Tribolium castaneum: one gene and its partner. The protein of the gene in region 2 binds, or shares a complex with, the protein of the main gene of each other region. Links are inferred from orthologs where the notes say so. Each region holds a gene or a part of one and is shown on either strand. Other genes may lie near its edges.

Evidence for each region.
Region 1: the proteins of Sym (region 2) and Ssu72 are in contact, whole or in part, in a crystal structure (PDB 4YGX), measured with the Drosophila melanogaster proteins. The link is inferred for Tribolium castaneum from reciprocal best matches to the Drosophila melanogaster genes Sym and Ssu72. Residues at the interface, in NP_649580.1 of Drosophila melanogaster: Glu91, Ala117, Lys121, Gln125, Gly128, Ser129, Glu169, Asn170, Asp171, Gly172, Thr175, Asn176, Lys179, Phe180, Arg198, Ser240, Ser241, Val242, Ile245, Ala246, Ser249, Thr281, Ser283, Gln284, Ser286, Ser287, Lys290, Met294, Gln295; in NP_001285455.1 of Drosophila melanogaster: Glu114, Tyr117, Asp118, Val121, Met122, Glu125, Glu128, Ser129, Val130, Asp131, Asn132, Arg133, Pro134, Asp168, Asp170, Asn171, Asp174, Gln178, Glu181, Val187, Ile188, Leu189, His190, Ser191, Val192, Phe194.

The regions. Positions count from the first base shown.
Region 1 is NC_087398.1:12,798,623-12,804,625, reverse strand, and holds Ssu72 (RNA polymerase II subunit A C-terminal domain phosphatase SSU72), read right to left. Parts: upstream 4,776-6,003; 5' UTR 4,539-4,775; coding exon 4,312-4,538; intron 4,247-4,311; coding exon 3,988-4,246; intron 3,938-3,987; coding exon 3,836-3,937; 3' UTR 3,766-3,835; downstream 1-3,765. Other genes in the region: Ns3 (large subunit GTPase 1 homolog), read left to right, coding at 1,790-1,891, 1,938-3,192, 3,248-3,453, 3,500-3,606, 3,652-3,763; protein O-glucosyltransferase 2, read left to right, coding at 5,034-5,209, 5,257-6,003.
Region 2 is NC_087398.1:8,153,208-8,162,454, reverse strand, and holds Sym (symplekin), read right to left. Parts: upstream 5,041-9,247; 5' UTR 4,893-5,040; coding exon 4,854-4,892; intron 4,804-4,853; coding exon 4,607-4,803; intron 4,563-4,606; coding exon 4,173-4,562; intron 4,126-4,172; coding exon 3,839-4,125; intron 3,791-3,838; coding exon 3,330-3,790; intron 2,976-3,329; coding exon 1,860-2,975; intron 1,809-1,859; coding exon 1,611-1,808; intron 1,561-1,610; coding exon 1,402-1,560; intron 1,348-1,401; coding exon 1,069-1,347; intron 920-1,068; coding exon 863-919; 3' UTR 801-862; downstream 1-800. Other genes in the region: Ccdc39 (coiled-coil domain-containing protein 39), read left to right, coding at 242-432, 481-786; GRIP and coiled-coil domain-containing protein 2-like, read left to right, coding at 5,214-8,380, 8,430-8,610, 9,184-9,247. UniProt on the Drosophila melanogaster protein: Component of a protein complex required for cotranscriptional processing of 3'-ends of polyadenylated and histone pre-mRNA. Involved in germline stem cell transit amplification, differentiation and mitosis-to-meiosis transition.

The DNA of each region.
Region 1 (6,003 bases), about 4.6 Mb from region 2:
TCTTGATCGGAGCCGTGAGTTCGGTGTATTTCGTCCGTTTTCTCAAAACAACAAACTTGCAAAATATCACAGTTCCCGCTTTGTCCGAATCGCTCAATACAATTTTTATTGGAATATTTTACTTTTACTGTGCTATCGTGATGTCACAGCACGTCATAAGTCCAACAAACACGGTGTTGGGGGTCGAGGATGATGTAACAATTATCCAAGAAAATGAAGACAAAATCACTGAATATTACCCCGAGACTCCTACGACTGAAGCCACAGATACGACCATGCCTCCATTTGAAAATAGCACAAACCCGAATGAAGACTTTTTACACAATTACCAGTCGTTTATACACAAAATTATGAAACACAATGCGAGTAAAATTGTAAGAAAACGGGAGGCGAATTCGAATGCTACGGTTTTTCCTAATGAAAAGTGTTTCGATGAGATATTTATGGAAAATTCAATGTTTCTCTACTCGTTTCTACACTCCGTCGTGTCACTCCTGATGGGGGCTAGTAAACAACCGGAAAAGCCAACCTCGGCCAAAATTCAACAAAAGCCCACAAAAACCGATGATTTGGAAGAGTCTGGTTCACCTGAACCGGGCACTGAAGACAGTCAAGCTTGTACAAACAAGCTTAAGCTCGTGGTTAAAATTCTCGTGATTTTTCTGCTCCCAGTCATATTTGTCATAACCCTGTATTTCGCAATGGACAAAATCGGTTTCGTGTCACGCTTCTTTGACCCAAACTCGATCGACTCCAACATTTGGAGCATAATTTACCAGCCTATAAACGTCTCAATCCCGGAGAAGAGTCAAGAAATCAACGATGTTGTCAAACATATCTACACCATTGTGAACGCGACTCGGGACAACACCAAGATAAACATCTACCGGAGGCCTAAGCAGCTAGACACCTGCCCCGACTTTGACAAGATGTACAGGTTCTACACCTTGATGGTGTTCCTAGTCTATTTTGTAACAATCCTCTACACGAAAATCAAGGAAATGAAACTGCGGAGTGAGGATGCCAACGCCGCTAAGCAGCTAAAAATTGCCATTATTTGCTTCGCTGCGTTGTGGTTTTTGAGTGTTTTGGAGCTTTTCTCCAAGACTTATTTATTCGATAATAACAGATCGAACCTGCTCACGGATATTTTTCTAACGTTGGGGAACTTGAACCAATTGTCGATCATTGGCATGAATTATTTCACGGCGAGGGAAACCGTGAAAAAATATAACCTTGTGGAACCGAAAGCTTGAAGAAAATTTGTTCCAAAAATGAAAATTTCCCGACACCGGGCACAACAATTCCAACATTTACCTTTACTTTAAGACTTCCTGGACTCGCGGATTCGACAAAACGAAGCATCTATCCGTTCACAAACAAATTACGACAATTTTTAGTTTACGATTTTGACAATACCACGGGCTTGTATGGATTTTAATAATTTTGATACCAACAAAATGAAGAGCATCGAGAACTAGTTGTAGGGTTTTTGTTTTTTTCCTGTTGTATAGTATTACGCTAATAAACGATTTTACCGACACACTGCCCCTTTATTTAAAATCTCACACCAAAACTGTGCCACATTTGAAATTGTTATTAATTATTTATGAGGATTTGTGCCATAATTTGCGATTTACTTTTCCTAGTTGCTCGGTTCCTCTGGTTGGTGCACCTGACACAACACCAAAAATAACAAAGATAGCGCTATGTTGAAAAGAGACGGGTGGTCGACACCTGACAGTTGAGGTTATGTCTCCTCGTTTTTCATTTTTTGACTGAAAAAAACATGGGTAAAAAATCAAAATCTTCGTCTGGTTTGGGCCGTTCCTTGATCAAGGACCGCTTCGGGAGCACCAAAGGTCGTAAACTAACAGCGGACAAGTCCATGGTACTGTATTTTAACAAATTACAAAACATGAAATTTTTTATTCAAGTTGCATACGACGGAATTGCAAGATGGGTACGATTGGGGCCGTTTGAATTTACAATCAGTGACCGAGGAGTCATCGTTTCAAGAGTTCTTGGCCACCGCTGAATTAACAGGTGCCGAGTTTCAGGCTGAAAAGCTTGACATCAAGTTCGTGAACCCTAAATCAAATGTGGGTTTGCTGACTAAAGATGAGATGAATAAAGCGAAGGATTTGCATGACAAGCACAAGGGGGAGTTGCGGATTCCGAGACGGCCCCCTTGGAACGCAAACATGAGTAAAGAAGAGCTGGATCAAAATGAAAAAGAGTACTTTCTCCAGTGGCGCAAAGGCTTGGCCAAATTGCAGGAGGACGAAGGCATTCTCTTGACTCCTTATGAGAAGAATCTTGAGTTTTGGAGACAATTGTGGAGAGTTGTGGAGAAAAGTGACGTGATTGTGCAAATTGTTGATGCCAGAAACCCGCTTCTTTTCTATTGTGAAGACTTGGAAAAATACACAAAGGAAGTGTCACCAGACAAAATGAACATTGTCCTAGTTAACAAAGCCGATTTTTTAACACTGGAGCAAAGGCAAGCCTGGGCTGACTATTTCATGTCGCAAAACGTGAAAGCTGTTTTTTATTCAGCGGCTTTAGCTTCGGAAACCCCAAAAGAGAGTGAACCGAGAGGTGACGAGGACCAATCAAAACTGAATCAGCTGCAAGACTGCGTATCCAACTTGGAAAAAGAAGTTGAAAAAACTGCCCAAAAATTGAATGAGATTATTGGGGCCCTAAAACTAGAGTTTCAAAATTCAAGCGAGATATTAACCAAAGATCAGTTGATGGATTTGTTCAAAGACATTCATAAGGGGCCTAAAGTTACTGAAGATATCACTACTATTGGCCTTGTTGGGTATCCAAATGTGGGGAAAAGTTCTACAATTAATTCACTGTTGTCTGCTAAGAAAGTTTCAGTTTCGGCAACTCCGGGAAAAACCAAACATTTCCAAACGCTTTTTCTTACGAAAAATTTGCTTCTCTGCGATTGTCCCGGCCTGGTAATGCCTAAGTTTGTTTTCACAAAAGCCGAAATGATTATAAATGGAATCCTGCCAATAGATCAAATGCGTGATCATGTGCCCCCTGTAAATTTAATTGCGACGTTAATTCCCAAACATGTGTTAGAAGACAAGTATGGGATTATGTTACCAGCTCCCTTGGAGGGCGAGGACCCTGACAGGTGTCCCACTTCAGAGGAATTACTCAATGCATATGCTTGTAAAATCCAGTTGAAATATTTTTTATTAATGTTAATAATTGTTTTATTTTGTAGATAACAGAGGGTTTATGACTGCTAATGGCCAACCTGATAATCCCAGAGCCGCTAGATACATTTTGAAGGATTATATGAATGGTAAATTATTATATTGTCACGCTCCTCCAAATGTTGTCCAAAGGGAGTACCACAGGTGGCCAGAAAGGCAGAAATTTCGCTCTTTGGAAAAATCAGCCCCTCCTCGCCAAATACGTGCTATAAAAGTATGAAGATGGCATTAAAAATTGTTCATTTATTTGATTTTTGTAGACAAGTCGTGCAACAACTGAAGACGTTGATAAGTTATTTTTTCACGGAGGCTCATCAACTGTACATACAAAAGGAAAGACAGTGATAAATGGTTATGGGGCTGCCAAGTATGCAATGTAACGTTTGGTGTTTTTTCTATTTTTTTCTCGTAGTGGCAGCGTCCAACAACTGGGTGATAAACCTTGGAAAAAAATCAACAGGCATGAAAATAAAAACAAGAGGGAGAAATTGAGAAGAGTTTATGCTCATCTGGACCAACACTGACGTCTCTGTTATGTAAAAGTTTATTCAGGAAGACAAAATATAAGTTGTGAATATTTTATATGAACCAATAAATTAATTAAATACAATGCTGTGCAAAATAGGCCTTTGGCATTTTTCCTCAAAATTGTGTAAAACCTCCTCGATATCATTGTCTAAGTCCTCGGCTTTGGCTAACTGAAAGTTGAAGAAAGTCAATGATAATTCCCCACCCCTCATTGAGTTACCATAAGACACATATCACTTATTAAAAAGGCTCCTATTGTTGCTTCCTCCAAGTTATCCTGAATATCAATATTGATCACATGCACTATGGAATTATCTACAGGCGTTTTGCTCTCCATATACTCCACCACTTGGTCGTAAACTCGTTCCTCGCAAGTTATCAAAATATCAAACTTTTCGTCAGTCTCCTGGAACCTTTCTGGGTGTGTTTTAATCCTCCTGTTCCTATCCAAAGTGTGAAGTAAGCCATTTTGTGTGTACCTAGTAAATCGTCAAGGAAAAACCACACCACTGAACGGAACCAACTTCTTTAATAAAAAGGATACAGTGACTTGTCTTTACCCAACAAGTCGTGGTAAATCTCGTCGTAGGAAATGCCAAAATCGTATATGTTTGGCTTATCTGCTGCTGATCCAGGTATTTTGACCTTGTCCCCAGTTCCAAAGGACTGCACTAGGAAGCCTTTTTTCGCCAGGAAGGCATGGGCCTCCATGCTGCGGTTCATGTTGCTGGAGCATATTACCGCGATGCGTAAATCGCTAATATTGGACATTTTCTTAATTTTAATCCCTTTTTGTGAGAAATTAACGCAAAGTATTTAACATAACCCAAAAAACTATAGTCTAAACTTAAAAGAATATGATGCAATTTGATTGTTATAATAAATACAAATAGAGCTATGAGAAAATGCGATAATTAACTAAAAATTATCAAATCCATAGCTTTTATATGCCAAATTAGAAATTTGGAAATTGCTAATGTGGAATTCAAGGTCGCAAGGTGTAATAATTTTGGGAATTTTTGTCCAATTGTTGGTGTCACTGATGTTGCTTTTTAAAATTACAACGATTTATTATTAAGCAGGATTTTAGTAATTTCTCAACATTGATCAATTAATTGACCGAAAATATCCCTACCGGTCCTATTACTTTCATTTTGGGATTTTTTACAACAAAAATATTACACATCTTTCACTCCGCGATTTAAATTTTACGAGATTGGCAGTTCTGTGATTTAAAAACATGTCAGGCGCTTGTTAACCTCAAAAATGTGCAAATTTATTTATTTTTATTTTCCATTTATCGTACTGTTTTCTCACGTAAGGAGCGAATTAATTGTTAGTGCCAAATTATCAAAAGTATGGGGGCCTGGACTCAAACCTCACATTTTTACAATGCCGGCGAGGTATTTTTTTATTCAAGCCGTAAATTCAGAAAATCAAAGGTACAACCAATTTTTATACGTTTTCATTTAGTAAAAACACATTTTAGTATTTCCTCAGACTTGGGGGCAATCTTCGACATACACTTTGAAGGTGTAACCAAGACACAGAAGCCTTGCCGCATTTGGGCAAACAGTCTCAATAGGAAAGACGGTTCCTACATTATTAGATATAAGTTGTATGAGCCGTGCTTCAGCTTAAAAATTAATATACTCCTCAATAAGGAACATGTGGACAAGTCTCCTTATGAAATTCCAGAACCTGTTTATCCAGACGATTGTGATTGTCCAGTTGGTGATATTGCCCAATTTTTGGAAAAATGGGAATGTGGCAACACCCCTCGGCAAATTCTCGCCGACCTGAAGCCCTTCCAAACAGTTAATTGGGATAAACTTAGGGATAAAGTAATTAAAAAATTCGACCAGCCGCACTCAATCAGTTTGTGCCGCTACGTCATAAAAAATAATGAAATTTACCGTACTTGTTACGGAAAATACGTAGGTTTTAAGATGTTCATGGACGCGATTTTGTTATCCTTGAGCCGAAAAGTGAACTTACCCGACCTGGAATTTTTCATTAATTTGGGCGACTGGCCTTTGGTGACTGAAAAAATCGAAACATTTCCAATTTTTTCGTGGTGCGGAAGCACCACAAGTCTGGACATTGTTATGCCAACGTATGATATTACCGAATCAACACTAGAAAATATGGGTCGAGTGATGTTAGATATGCTCTCTGTCCAAGGAAATGTGAAAGAATCGTGGGAAAATAGAACAGGGCAAGCGTTTTGGCGAGG
Region 2 (9,247 bases):
GAACATTTTTATTTACAACTTGCGCTAAAATTACAAACATTTTACTCGCCTGTCTTTAATTACATAATTACGTTCAATCATAAGAAAAAAAAAACTATCGCAGATAAACAGTGTAAACAAAAAAACTTACTGTCACTTAATGTTGTTTTATTAATTATTTTATAATATTTACCGTTTTTCACTCACAATACAAAAATTCAAAATGCAACACAAACGTTCTAACATCGTTTATTATTCGTAGAAGTACAAAATGCACTAAAAGAGCTTGAAATAAAACGCGATCAAGCCAAAGACGCACTTTTCGACTTGGAGGAAGAGTACTTAAAAACTGAGAAAGAAAGCTCTGAGAAAGAAGAAAAGCTCAAAAGAGCTGAACGTTGTTTAAAACTCGCACAAAAGAAAGTTCGTCACAAGGAACGTGAAAAATATGACGTAAGTTTATTTACATTTTTTCCAATTATTATTTGTTTATCTTTTCAGAGAGACTTGGAAATCCGCCAATTGAAGGAAGCTAATCTCAGTGCTATGCAGCGTTTGGTGGAAATGTCTATACGTTATCAAGAAATGGCACCGCTGATTACTCGTTACACGCTCGAATATGACGTCAAATTACCCGAAAAACGCACAATTGCCTCCTTGTGTGCCTGCTCAGAATCAACAAGGTCTACGTCCAGCAGTTCTTGTAATCAAGAAAAAGACGTTTCTGACGTTAAAAGCGTCAAATCTGAGTCCAGTTCGACGAAAAGTTCCGCAATTTCAAAAGTCTCAATTACATTCCAAATGTAGGTAAAAATACACAATTAAAGTAAGGTTTTTTATTCATTTGTTAATAAAATTGAGATAATAAAAGTTAAATTAACGCTTATTCCATTCCGGGCGGCAAAGGCTCGTTGGCTAATGTCGGGGGCGCAGCAATCGGCTGAAAAAAAAATTGTCTAAAAAACCGCAGAAAATTGGAACTGCTGATTAAGCTGCAACTAAAACAGTTCCACCCAACAAAGCCTTTTTAATTGATTACAGTTTCGATCTCAACTATTTTAAATAGTATTAAAAGTCACTAGGACTTACCTCTTCTGGAGTTACAACCACCGGTGGCGGAACAATCGTTGGTGGCGGCTGTGCGTAACTTCCTAAAATGATTTCCTGGACTGTGGGCGGGATGTGCGACCTTTGCCCTTCAGTAAAATTCAGCAAATGCTCTTTGAGCGGTTCCCTCAACTCGGGACAAATTGACAACGCATCAGATAGTTGGGGCGGTGGTAATTGCATCAAAACAGTAAAACTTTGCGGTTTTGTTCTTTGACAACATTTGATAAATCCCTCCCATACCACTTTCTGTTTCCAAACCTTCAAAAAGCAACAAAAAATATTGATTATTTTTTTTTTGTAATACGACAGAACCTGTTTTAAGATCAGACGTTGCAAAATATTCATCACGAACCCTGACAGTCGGGGATAACTGCCCAAAGCTTGGATGACAGTCCTCATGAGTAGAGTTGGTAGCGGGGTTTGGTCCATTAACTGTTGCAAAACAACAGCTAATACTTCTTGAGTAAATACCTGGAATTTGGTAATTTGAGAAATATATTCGGTGCGAAAATAATTCGTACTTGTTTTTCCTGAAGACACATAGATGTGGCCTTAATTATAGTTTTCAAGTCGGCTTTCGTGGAATCAATTAAATGTAGAGCGACCAAAAGTTCAGTTGGGGTAATTGGACTGTCACCATGTAAGCCTAAAAGTCGGTTAAAGACTTCCCTTACAACAACCGGGTTCAATTTAATTAGCTTTGGCAAAGCTGCAATTACCTACAATTGTACAAATTAGTCAAAAGTACAAACGACGCTCGACCTCATTACTTCTTTCTTTGATAACCCGTTCAAAACTGGGATAAGAAACCTAACATCTGACACTCTCGTGTGATACAATTCCCTGACTCTTTGCACCAACTGTGCACTCGGGGGGCCCTTGTCCGTCAAAACGTGTATAACACGCGTGACCAAAGTTTCCGAGCCTTTGGGACACTCCTCCACCAGTTTTAGAAGCTCAGGTGAGTCCATCCCCATTGATCTGATCGGGGTTTCAAGCAGACGTAGAATAATCCGTTTAATGTTGGCCCCCGTCTGTACGTAAACCTTAGCCAAGTCATGAATAAGACTCTCATTGGCTGGCAATAGCGAAATATACGGAATAAGACAAGCTTTTATAAAATCATCGCCCCAAGTCTCGCTCTTCAACCTCCCTTGACTAAACCCACACAAACTCTCCGGCGGCCTTTGCAACTTCAAAAACTCCAAATTCATTCGTGCAAACTCCTCAATCACCAACCTCAACTCCACCTTCTTGTGCAACTCCAAAACGTGTCCAATGGCACACTCTCTTACCACGCTCAATTCGTACGTCGTGTACGAGAGGAGGGCGTTGAGGAACATCAACTGTTTGGGGGGCTTCCGGACCGTCAAATCGTGCAACAACCCCAAAGCTGCTGTGCATTTCTTCTCGTCTCGGCACAACTGGTGGAGCTTATCCAAAGCCTCGTCTGTTATTAAAGGCGCTTCCAAAAACAATCGACAGAGCACTGCTGAGTCGTGCATACAAGCGTTTATAAATGTGCAAAGCAAGATGTTGTAGCTTTTGTCCAGTTTGGTGTCTTTGCGTAAAGGGGGCACTCTTGAGAAGCCCTGCAGTATTCCGTACTCTTCAAAAAGCCACGCCAGGGCCAGGTCTATGTGAGACCGTAAGTCTGATAGGAGAAACGCCAACACTGTTTGTCTGACAGTGGGGCTAAAGCAGGCTGCGATTGTGGTGATTAGTTTTTGGTACAAGCATTTTGCGGCTGTTTTGTCCGCGGTTAAAAGTCGGTTTATGGACCCTATTAACAATTTCTCCTTTGTTTCTTTCTCGATAGGTTTGGTGATTTCGGACAGTTTCAGTGTCTTGATTCGGGGAACTTTTGCTCGTTCCTTCTTCAGGAGCTACCAAATGTGTAAAACATGTTGTAAAACAAATAGAGGCTTCATTATATTTTTTTTTAAGAATAATTACTAAAATTTCTTTGACCTCACAATTACGATAAGTTATCAAAACATAACTTAAAAAAAATACAGGATGCGTGATACATAACTTCTCAAATCATCCGAACCAACATAAGCTAACAGATAAAGATAAATACATAAATAAATAAATAAATAAATAGACAAATATTTGGTACAATGAATTACATCTTATCTTTTCTTAAATACAGCTGAAAATGTGAAATCTGAATTGCAAATTACTGTTTCTGTTTTACTTATTATTATATTATTTGTGTGCAAAAATTGTTTTCTTACCTTTTCCTTCTCTTCCTTGTCCTCTTCCTCCTTCTCCTGCTGTCTAAATTCCTCGACCTTTTTTGCAAAACTTTTCGAAGACGGCGAAACCCCGGCCTCAGTCAAATACGTGGCAATAAGTTTTGTCAAAACATCAAATTGGCCAACTTTTCCACTATCGACATATTTGCCATACTCTTTCGCAAAATCGGGAGACATTGTAGCCGGCAGTTTACTCATAGAAGCGAAAACCATTTGAACCGCTCTTTCCAACGTGAAATTTTCAGACACAAAGTTCTCATTCAACTCTTGCAGTGTTTGCGAATCACTGTCATTGGTGTCGTTATCGAATTCAATTTGAGGATCAAGTCTAGGTCTTTTATTGTAGATCTGAAGGGACTCAACTGAGAGAGTCCTCTTGCAATATTTCCGCCGCTCGTCGGGTTTCGGTACCATTTTAAGAATGTCTTGCTGGGAATAACCTGAGAAAAAAATCCTAAAAAATTTTTTTGCGTAAAAATAAAACGCACCTAAATCGGTGAGCATTGGGGTTAATTTCTCCACAAATTCGTAAGCCGCTGGGTGTTTGATAAGTCCAGCGAGTTCGGATTTTAATTTTTTACGCACGGAATTCACTTGAGTTGTTGTTAGAGTTGGAGGTAGGTTATTGTAAAGTGATTCAATAGCTGAGACAACTCGAGACATAAATTCGGCCCGATTTTTTGCAATGTTTGTAACAACGCCCAGGCAGGTTAACAAGTTGGCACTGCTAATATGGGGAGAGCCAAAAAATTTTAAAAGTAACTCAAACAAGGTACTAAAAAATTCAATTAGAAATTTGCGAATTTAAAAAAAAATAAATACTTTGCTTCCTCTTCTAGTTTTCGCCTCCGCGCCAATTTTAACGTCAGAGGAACATCATCGAGTGAGAAGTCGTTCGGTTTCTTGTTCTCTTCCTGGTCGGGATAAGTTTGCAACAACACAACACATTCTAAAAATTTCACTGAACTAGTCCTAATGCCGTCATTGTCACTATCAATCATATTTGCAATTTCTAATTTTATGGCAGACAATTGCTTCCAGGCGTTTTCCATTTCTTCTGTAATTACAGAAGCCTTGCATAACCAGGCCAACGTTTTGCGATAAATACTGATTAAAGCTTGAATTACGCGCTTTTGCACCGCTATTGACTCATCACATAGTAGCATATGAAGGTTTAGCATTACTTTAGGTAAAAGAGACTCGCGCATTTTGCTAAAACAAAAGTTAAGTAACCAATTAAAATGCATAAAACCTACCATAACTCTTCAATAAAACCCACTAGCGCTTTTTTCACGTCCCCATTCCTATCAGTCGTGAAATTAAGCATGTTTTGTAAAAACTTTGGCAGCAAATGGGGCGACTTCCGAATCAAAACTTCTTGCAATTTGTGGAAGTATTCAAGCTTTTCTGCAGCAGAGCGGGACACTGCAGCGCTATTTATCCATTGGGTCACCTAAAACGCGTCTCTTTACTACCGAAATCAACTAAATCTCGGTTTTTTACTAAATCCTCGTCGGAAACTTCGTTCATGGTAAAATCCATGTCGAGAGGATTTTACAACCAAAAATGACGCAATTGTTGCCACTAAAGCAACGAAATTTCGAAAACAAAGCTAGTTTTATCTAAAGCGTTAAATTAATTGAAAATGAGAGCCAATCATCCATTTTTGGAAAGCCAAAGATTGAGGTTATGGCAGAAGTGACGTGAACATGTTACCAAAAAACAGTAACTTTTCCGCTTTTTGTTGGCGACTTTTGCTGTCAAAATACTATTGATGTGTCAAAATAATAAAAAATTATTAAAATACAATGTAATTGCTAATTACTTGGAAATTACAATACAATAGATTAAGTAACTATCGAGATGGAATCGAATACGCCATCCGAAAGTGGCAAGAAAATCGTTTTGGAGAATTTATCGAAAGAGGAATTGGTTAAACGGTGCGAACGGCTTTTGATTCTCGCCCAGAAGGCCAAACAGGCGAAGGACGCGCTCCAGGAGGAAAATAACGAGCTGAAAAATAGGCTAAAATCGGAATCTGGAGATGCCACAACTGCAATTATCGAAAATTTGACCCAACAGAAGTTGCAGTTTGTTACCACGATTGAAGACTTGAAGAGCCAAAATGCCGCTTTGGTGAATAAAGTGCAAAACTGCACGCAAGACGCACGTCTGTGTGAGGAGAAGGATAGGCTTGAAAGCGAGAATATTTCGTATAAAAGGCAAATCAAGCGTTTGACGGATGAAAATGAGCAGCTGATTACGCATCTGGAGTCTCTGGAAAAGCAACTCGAAGAGTGCAAAAACCTGGGACTTGAACAGCAAAATCAGCTGCTGATGTTGGAAGAGGCGAATCAAAAGTTACGGAGTGATGACACAAGTGATAAGTCTGCAGAGTTGCAGAAGATGCTTAGTATTAGTTTAGAGGAAGTTAAGAAGTTGCAAGCTGAGAATAACACAATGAGGGAGAAAATTGACGTGCTCAAGACGAATCTGGGGGAGAAGGATAAGAACATTTTAACGATAGGCCAAGAGTTGCAGGAAAAATTGAAATTGGTCGAGGATTTAGAAAAAATCAAAAATGAAACAAGAGAAAATGTGGAGTTGGTTGAGAAACTTAAAGGGAGACTGAAATTTTATCACTCAAAAGTTGTAAAACTGGCCGGTAATGTGAAGGTTTTGAAGGAAAATAAAAACGAGGTTTTGCGTTTGCTCAAAACGTACTCACATCAAGTGGAAGAATGGAAAGAACAGTTGGGTGTAGCTTCAAAAAAGTTGTGCCAAGAAATTAGTGATATCAAAGTACAGAACTCTGAATATCACAAGGAAATTGAAGGTTTGAAAGAAAGTAATGCAAAATATCTGAAACAACTTGAGGCACATAAAACCGACGACGAGAAAAGTAAAGAACTTGGCGAGTTTGAGAGAATTTCCAAAGAACATAAGAAATTGATTGAAGAAAATCAAAGATTGTTACAACTTCAACTTGACTACCAGCAAACTGTTGAAACGCTCACTGTTGAAAAGGAGAGTCTGCTTGAGAATTTGTCTCAATTGGAGGAAAGACATCAGGAAGAAATCAAAGTTTTTGACGACCAAAGCAAGAAAGACACAATTGAGATCAAGAACAGAATCGAAGAAAATGAAAAAATTTGCATTGAATACCGAAAAGTCATCTCCAAGCTGGAGGAGGATCTAGATTTAAACTTGAGGGAGCTAAATGATGCGAAGCAGAAGAATTACAGTCTTCAAGAAGCACTTGAACATTCAAAAGAAACGGAGAGGCAAATTGCTGATAAAACCAGTGAAGAAATACTTAAACTAGTTCAAGAAAATGCCCAGTTGGTGGAAATGAACCGAAAATTGCAAACCACCCGTGATAACTGCAAACAAGTGGAATGCCAAACTGAGGATTCAACAAACAGCGAACTGGAAGAAGTCGTGTCAGGTTTGAAGAGAGAAAATTCCGAACTTTTGGCCGAAATGAACGAAATGAATCAAGCACTGAAAGAAAGAGGAGAGACTATTTCCAAATTGCAATCTCACTGCGAAGAAGTTATGAAAAAATTGCAATTGTATGAGACACAAGCCAACAAAAACGTTGACAACATATCCCAAAAGGAGGAAATAATTAAAAAACTTGAAGACGAAATCGAGCGACTTAAAGCCACGAGTGACTTAAACTCAAACACCTCCGAAATCAGTGATTTGAAAAACGAAATTGAGAATTTGAAAGAACGGTTAAACTCGAATCTTGATTCAAGTTACGCCGATAGCGAGTGCATGTCCACGTCGACAATTTCAAGAACGGAGGAATCAAACAGAATGAAAGATCTGGAAGGGTCTTGGGAGGAAAGATACGGAAAACTACGAAACTTGGCCGTGAAACTGAAAGGGAAAGTTCGTGACTTGTCCAACGAATTGGTGAAGGAGCAAAACGAGAAGAACGATATTCAGCAAAAATGTGCCAGTAACGTGAAAACCATCGCAACTTTGCAAGCCCAGTGCGATAAATTACAAGACGAATTGGACGAAAACAAAAAACAAATAAAGGAATATTCCGCCCGATTGGATTCGACCCTTGCTGAAGTTTCCAAAGATAAGCAAAAACTGAGCGAAAACGAGGAGATAATCACCATACTCAAGAAAGAATTGGAAGAGTTAAACCAAGAGAAAGTCACGACTGAAGCCTGGAAGAAGCAAATAAGCGGCAAAGTTTCGACGTTTAGAAAGGAACTCGAAGCGAATAAGGTTTTGAAGAAGGAATACGAGGCCAAAATCGCCAAACTCACCTCGGACTTGGAGGCCAAAGAACAGGCGCTCAAGGCCGAGAGCGAGTACCACCAACAAACGAAAAATTCCCTTGAACATTCCAATATCGAACGCAAGAAAAACTCCGTCCTTAACCTGGAAATGCAAGACTACGAGAGGAGTGTCAAGGAGTTGTCCCAGAAATTGGAAAAGAAGCAAGAAGAAATCAACAAGTTGAAAAGCCAGCTCGAGTCGCAGAAAAGCACAACAAATGCGGTCCGCGAACAGAACAAGCTTTTAGAAGAACGAGCGGAAGAGATGAAGAGCGAAGTCGGAGCAACACAGGCTGAAATTATCGCTTGTAAGAAGCAAATTTCTGACTTGGAATCGGTCATGTCGAGTAAGGAGAACAAAATTCACGATTTGACCCAAATTTTGGAAACCGTGCGTTCGGAAAATGAGGAACTGTCGACTGAGTTATCCAAAGTCATTGCCGAGCATCAGAAAGTTAACACAAGCCTGAAAAGCGAGAAAGAAAATTTGAAAGGGCAAATTCTGGGGCTGCAGCAGACTTTGAGAGACGTCCAAGATGCGCTAAAACTGAAGGAAGACGAACTGAAAATCGTGCAAAATGATTACGAAAATTACAAGGTTCGGGCGCAGAGTGTCTTGAGACAGAACCAGAGTCGCGATGTTGGTCTCGAGGAAAAATTGTCGGAAGAAGTGTCAGCTCTGGGGGTTAAGTGTGAGGCTCTCACTGCGGAGCTAAACAAGTGCAAGTAAGTTAGAGTGGAAATTTAGTTTTTGTGACTGATGTCACGTTTGTAGAACTGTTGTTGACGATTTGAAGAAGGAAAATGAAGCATTGGTTCACGAAAAATCGGAAGTCTTGACCAAATATGAAGATGTGTTGAGCGAAGTTGAGGACCTTAAATCGCTCTACGACCAACTAACTAACAAGCATCAGCAGACCATGATAGAACACAGCGAGACTGTCAGGAGTTTAAAGGTAAAAATGGATTTGCATGACAGATAATTGGGTTATTTTGAGACAAATATATAAACGCATGCTATGAAAATTATATAATAACTTGATAACTAAAAGAGATTTAAAAAATCTTGAAAAATTATTACATTTTTAAAGTAGTTGATGTATTAATTATGCAACCAATATTACAACAATATCACCTAGCCAAGTTCTTCGGGATGATTTATGACGCCAGGTAGTCGTTGTGATCGATAAGACCCTGTAAATATTTATTTATGAGACTTTATAATAAGGGGGCTGAACACTTTCACATTATTTTGAATTTTTTCCGTTCATATTAAATAATAATAAAGATAATTTTCATTATCCTTGATAGTAAAGTAAAAATTAAAGAGCTTTTTATTAATTAAATTAATTAATTAATTATGAATTAATTTGCAAAATATCAAACAATTGGTTGACCTATTTCGTTATAGTACTCAACACCCGAACTGAAAACCGGGTGTGGAGTTTTGAGATTGAAGTTTTGTTAAAGTTTGATTTTTTCTTCGGGAGGAGAGCAAGTTCTTTTTCCAGTAATGTGCCTGTTTTTAGGTCCATGCCGAGACGTTGGCCCAGTGCTACCGCCAGCAGTTGTCAGAGCAGGAAGTCCGTCACA